Bombyx mori: one gene and its partner. The protein of the gene in region 2 purifies or fractionates together with the protein of the main gene of each other region. This does not show direct contact. Links are inferred from orthologs where the notes say so. Each region holds a gene or a part of one and is shown on either strand. Other genes may lie near its edges.

Region 1 (2,853 bases), on a different chromosome or scaffold from region 2:
AATATAAATATATACATATATTTTTCAATTAATACACTACTTACAAAGTTTAAATGTTGATTTTATAAAAACATAAAAAACAATGTAATGCTGCTCACCTCCAGCACCACACCACAAAATGACAATAACTACTGAAATAATGAACTAGGTAGTGCTTGGTGTAATGCTCAGACTAGGTGTCAGAGTAATCATGCAGGGACATCACCACAGCAAGGATAACTTTAACTCTCACTACCAACTCTATGTTAGTCAACTTGAAAGGGCACTAAGCAAATGAACGCCACCGAAATATCGGAAATCACTTCTACTATCATTGCACCTACACTCCACTTTATCTGCACAGTGTGCTAACTCGGGTTCGCTTCAGCGTCTATAAACTCCCAATGCCACTTGTTTCTAGATAAATCAGCTCTTATTCCACGAACTCTCTTTCACGGAAGATTCACTGTAACAAAACACCTACTCACGGGAGTGTCCGCTCGCAGGCACCAGCTATGTGCTCAGAACTCTGCAAATTCCTTTGCACACTTTTCAGTGGAAGAAATACGAAGAGCTTCTTCTTCATAATCATCAAAATTGCTTGTGTCACCGGGTCCTTTGCAGCGAGGTATGAATGGAGCCTCTATCTTCTTCTGGAAGACGGCAATCCAGTCGGTGGTGGCAAACCATTTATGACCTTTTATATCATTGACACCAGCCTTCAAGTTACCATAGCGTTTGGTCAAATCTACTTGAAGTAGGTTACGAAGCAGATCCTTCAGATCTGAACCAAAATGTGATGGAAATCGTACTTTGCCAGACACAATTTTTTCATAGATCTGAATGGGTTGATCAGCGAAAAAGGGCGGGTAGCCAGCCGCCATCTCATACACGAGCACTCCTAACGCCCACCAATCCACAGCTTTGTTGTATCCCTTGGATAGAATGATTTCAGGTGCAAGATACTCAGGAGTGCCGCACAAAGTCCACGTGCGGCCTTTCACACGTTTAGCGAATCCGAAATCTGTAACTTTTAAGTAACCCTGAGAATCAATTAGCAAGTTTTCAGGTTTCAGATCCCGATAAATAAGGTCCAAATAGTGAAGGTACTCAAATGCTAAGACTATTTGAGCTGCGTAGAATCGCGAATGCGGCTCCGAGAACCGACCCACCTTGCGCAAATGCGAGAACATTTCCCCTCCAGGCACATACTCCAACACCATGTACAAGTTAGAGTTGTCCTTGAAATGGAATTTAAGGCTCACCAAAAACGGAAAGTTGATGGCTTGTAAGATACGTTTCTCGTTTAGAGTGTGCTCCACCTGTTTCAATTTAACCACTTTCTGTTTATCTAATATTTTCATAGCGTAATATTCTTTAGTAGGTTTATGTTGAACTATCATGACTCGTCCAAACGAGCCAGTACCTAGGGTTTTTATCCGTTCGAAATCGTTCAGTCCGGCGGTGTTGGTAGGATTCTTCTTCCATTTCTCCTCGAAGTCCTCTTTGGCCTGGTCGAGGAATTCTTTGACGCTTTCGGCGGCGTCCACCTTTTTATTAGCGGTGGCAGCATTGTTGCCCATGGCTCACACCACAAAGCAGTCCAATGCCCTCGATTCGCCGTTATTAGAGGCCGCTTTACTGCACTAATCGATGCTTGTGGTATGATCGTATAAGAATATGGGCAGGTCAGCACAAACCAATTTTAAGCACGTACATTCTTATTTTTACTAATCACAATTACACGTCACAAAACACTTCCAATATAAAAACACATTGACACGTTTATTTCAAATGCAAAAGTTCTATCAAAGTACTTTCAATTTTGTCACAATCACCAGAAATAAAATGGCTTCCACAGCCGGACTCGATCGACAGAGCGAGATCAAGCGAACGATGTGCTCACGGGAAGCGGTCAATTCACTAATGTTGCCAAAGCAGTTCTTACTCTGCTACTAACTTTTTAAAATTTACCATTTACGAAAACTAATTTAAAATAAATTTAAACATTCACAGTAAACATTAAATATACTTATAAATAATTGTTAAAAAATAATAATGAAAAAGATGTATCAATGTACCCAAACTTTTAATAATAATCACATACCTACATTTCCCTCTAAAAATATCGTTGACGCAGAGATTAGAATTTTATGTACATAAAAATATACTTGAAAATAATTTTGTACTTCGCTGCATTGCTAGTATTACTTTTTTAGGAAAGTGTTTTTTTAAATGCATTTTCACATAGATAATAAATGTGTTTTTTGCTATTCTCACTAATTGCATCGACGTTTCTAAAGGTAACTAGATGATAACCGAGCTTTGCTCGTTTTTTTTTTTTGATAACTCCATCTTGTTGTGTCTTTAAAGCGGTTAGTTGCCCTCAATTAAGAAAAATAGTATTATTATTCGCCAATAGATGTCGGGAAGAGTTGATTATTGAAAACACGAATAAACAACATTTTCTGAAAATAAATCGTAGCTAGATCGATTTATCGCCCCCGAAATCCCCTGTATACTAAATTTTATGAAAATCGTTGGAGCCGTTTCCAAGATTCAGATTATATATATATTTATATACAAGAATTTAAAGGTATAAGATAAAAATAATTCTACTGGAGGATGGTTATCTTTCTGTTGACAATAAAAACTATCACATCCCTCGCTTATCTATCTATAGTAGGTAAGTCAAATCAAGTCAAATCAAACAAAGTACGATTTTGTCATATTTATACTTTCAATAGACGATTTTTGATGGACTTACAAATCTTTGTTTATTTGGCGTAGACATACAAACAAGCTCTTGGCCTACATGTCGCTAATTTATTATCAGACCTCATATACGCTAGAACATCAATGCCAAAATAATAA
Region 2 (3,944 bases):
TGAGAATATCCGGGGAAAACTCAGGCGATTATGTCTGTGGATTAAGTTGCATGTCGAACACTTCGCCGCCCACTGAGTTTCTTGTTGGATATTCTTAGTGGGTCCGATTCAGTGGTAGATTCTGCGAAGCACTGCCCTTGCTAGGGCTGATTTTAGCAAATTCTCTCAGGTTGAGCCTGTGTGCTCATCTAACCGTAGTTGTAATAATTCCCGGCGAATAGGTAGGAGAAAAAAATATGATAAGAAGGCTACCTAATAGGTCGGGTTGCTTTTTCAAAGAAACCGCGTCTATGATCGCTTTTGGTCTAGAGACCTCGCCACTTTCCTAAGCCGGCTATTGTAAATTATTTTGTGGTCGTTTTTTGTAACAACAAACAAGGAATTTCAATTTTCCACGCTCGAATCGATTCTTTGGTTTTAGATTGAAAATAATAGTTTAAAATTACTAAAAAAAATAAGCTTTTATAAAAATTAAACTAAAAATAGAAAATAAATTTTAATAAATTTGAATTAAAAATAGTGTAAGAAAAAAATGATCTTATTGTAAAAAAAGTGTGGGTGGTTTTCAGGATATGTATTATCAAAATATTTATAACTGTTATAACCATGCACCCCACGGTTTCTTTTTACAATAAATTCATTTATTCTAAATTGTATATCTGTTATGGTGTATATATGGTGCTAATATAGATCCATTAATTTTGAAACTTCCTGTTTTTATTTATTGTTTTGCATTTCTCTGCTCCAGTCTTTTAACGTACATGATATTATGTATTGTCTATTTAGTGTTTCTTCAGGTTTAAATGTGTAATAACGTTGGTTTATTAACTGTTTATTATCTGTGAAAGTGCACAAATATGGGAAAATGAAACAAAGTCGCTGGACGTAACTTCTCGGGATCCTTCAAAAAGTCCACTGAAAAAATCAGTAAATGACCACCATTTTACTGAGATTATATTTCATCGCATATAATCTCATCATATTTCATTTAATTTTATCCCAGTTGATTAATGTCTCAAATTAATCATCTTCATTTCATTTCATGTCATGTTTCACTTCATTTTATTTCATAATGTCATATTTCATAAAATAAAATAAATTTATAAAAGATTAGGCTGTATGGTATGATACTTTTGCCTTTCTATTTGGAAAAATAAAATTACTACATTACGAAGAGAACAAAATATTTTATGTTTATTTACAATACATATGTACGACGACTGGAGCAGAGAAATGCAAATCAATAAATAAAAACAGGAAGTTTCAAAATTAATGGATCTATATTAGCACCATATATACACCATAATAGATATACAACTTTACATTTTAAAATGAATAGCTACGTTATAAATTCATTCGTCGGCGAAGGCTCATTTGGACGTGTTTTTAAAGCAAAACACAAAGATACCGATGCTGTAGTAGCCTTGAAAGTGATAAGGAAGGTATTTATTAAGTTTTTATGACTTTAAATACTTGGTGCCTTCATGATTTCCTAATTTTTTTCTATAAATGTATACCATCAATACAAATAAATTACAAAAAAAACTTGCGAGTGCTTATTAAATCTTCATTTCCACTATTTCCAAAATAATATATTTAATAAGATCATTAATAAAGTGTGATAAAATAATAATTGTACACACAGAGAATGTTATTAACCAGGTTTTCTTACTAGTAAAATTTTAAATGGTCTTATTCAGTTATCATGATCCCAATGTCTTCGCTGTCATAGATATCACGGTCAAACCTCTCGTCATCCACATTAGTTAATAAACAAATATTCTTACACAATAATTCAACATTTTCAGAAAGGTCGCTCGTCTAAAGACTTAAAATGTTTGAAGCAAGAATGCGACATACAGAGGCAATTGAATCATCCAAACATAATTCGGATGATAGACAGTTTCGACACTGATACAGAATTGGTAGTTGTCACAGAATATGCTGAGAAAGAACTACATGGAATATTGGCTAAGGAGGGTTGTCTTAATGAAGAACAAGTGAAGAAGATTACTTGGGACCTTGTGTCTGCACTGTACTACTTACATTCTCATAGAGTTTTACATAGGTAACTTGTTTGTTTCATATTTTATATCAAATAATAATACTAAACACACATTATTAATATTATATCATTATTGATGTAAATAATAATTATATCTAAACATTTTTTGGACCTTGGCAGGGGGCATAGCTAGGTGAAATCAGTATAATTTATTCATTTTTTCTCTATAGCCTGGCTTATAATAGAGACATTCATCTTATATCTCAATGTGGACAGTTATATTGATTGGTTCTGGATACTGAATCTATTAAGATTTATTTAAATAAAAAGATTAATTTGTAAAAAAATTGAGAGTAGGATAGAAAGTTATTATTGTTCTTATAGTTAATATTTAATTTGATCTGAGCTTTTAACGTTGAAATTGGATATTGAAGTAATTCTCATTGCATAAAATTGAGAAAGAAAATAATCATAGAAATATCTATGATTCATTTATTATGATTTTATATTATTCCTGAACATTTATCATACAAAATAACAATTTTAGAGACCTCAAGCCACAAAATGTGCTATTGGATAGTACAGGACGTGCCAAACTCTGTGACTTTGGTCTTGCAAGAATAATGACAAATGCAACACACATTTTAACATCCATCAAAGGCACACCATTGTACATGGCCCCCGAGTTAATTGATGAGAAGCCATATGATCATCAGGTAATTATATTAAAATAGCATTATATAAACAAAGAGTTATACTGTAATTTTCTGTGGAGATGACATGTTTTTACCTATGTCTTCCGTCTGACCTAACTATTCTTAGTAAAACTATAATTAAAAAAAAAAAACTGGTCAATCTGTTGCTTTGTTTTGATGTGAAAGGGCATACAAATACACAATCTAATAACAAACACACTTTCACATTTATAATATTTGTATAGTGTGGAAGTATGGATACTTAGTATGCATGCTGTTCCATCAATGCAGCTATGCTATTATATTATATAGTAATACTTTCAATTTTCAAAATTACATTAATTATTCTTAGTAAAACATTATTTATAACAATAATTGACATATTTTAGAGTACTTTTATTTTAATTTGTCCTTAGCCTAATTAATATAAATCAATAATTTCAGAGATTTTCCTGTACGTAATTAAAAAAAAAAAAACATGAATTTATGCTAATGATAGTTTATTCAACAATATTTTTATGTATGCATATATGGTAGGGTTTATATATTAATTAATCACTTTGCTATAAACAAAAGTGATTATATCGTTAAAACTTCATTTTATACAGATATTTCTGTCACTTTTTATGCACAAATATGCATCAAAACCTCATGGAATATTGTTATTAATCCTAAAGAGTTGCAAACATTTTTGTACATTACAGGGCTCCTTGTGGAAAATTTCAGCACCTATAACAACAGGAGTTAAAAAAATTTGCTATCACAATACTGACTAAATATCAATATAATAATTATCCAAATTGTTTTTTTTTAAGTATAATAATATGGGTGAATAAGCCACTTTGTGCTATGTGGTTACCTGAGCCCATAGATATCTCAATGTGTTTGAGCACACCTATTTTGAGACATTATATTGAGATCTCAATTGTATTTTTATTTTGTGTATTTTTTTCAGGCAGACTTATGGTCACTTGGCTGTATTGTATATGAGCTAATTGCTGGGCAACCACCTTTCTGTACAATGTCTATATGGCAACTTGTCCGCATGATTAGACACAAACCTGTACAGTGGCCTAGTTTCATCAGCACTAATGCTCGGACCTTCCTACAGGTTTGTTTGCTTTTGAGCTCTCACTTCAAGCTTTTAAAACTGCACAAATAATTTAACATTTTACGTTTAATTAAGTTATACTATTTGTACCATTAGTTTAATAGTATTAAAATATTTATTTAGGGCTTATTGC

Evidence for each region. The genes of interacting proteins can lie anywhere in the genome.
Region 1: the proteins of serine/threonine-protein kinase fused (region 2) and cAMP-dependent protein kinase C1 purify together in Drosophila melanogaster (affinity purification with western blotting; 3 studies listed by BioGRID, with this or other methods). This does not show direct contact. The link is inferred for Bombyx mori from reciprocal best matches to the Drosophila melanogaster genes fu and Pka-C1.

The regions. Positions count from the first base shown.
Region 1 is NC_085129.1:12,556,043-12,558,895, forward strand, and holds cAMP-dependent protein kinase C1, read right to left. Parts: upstream 1,563-2,853; coding exon 501-1,562; downstream 1-500. UniProt on the Drosophila melanogaster protein: Serine/threonine-protein kinase involved in memory formation. Promotes long-term memory by phosphorylating meng and by regulating CrebB protein stability and activity.
Region 2 is NC_085116.1:10,508,243-10,512,186, reverse strand, and holds the start of serine/threonine-protein kinase fused, read left to right. Parts: upstream 1-1,144; 5' UTR 1,145-1,331; coding exon 1,332-1,442; intron 1,443-1,808; coding exon 1,809-2,068; intron 2,069-2,552; coding exon 2,553-2,721; intron 2,722-3,655; coding exon 3,656-3,811; intron 3,812-3,934; coding exon 3,935-3,944. UniProt on the Drosophila melanogaster protein: Probable serine/threonine-protein kinase; maternally required for correct patterning in the posterior part of each embryonic metamere. May be involved in control of cell division during metamorphosis and ovarian development. May interact with costal-2.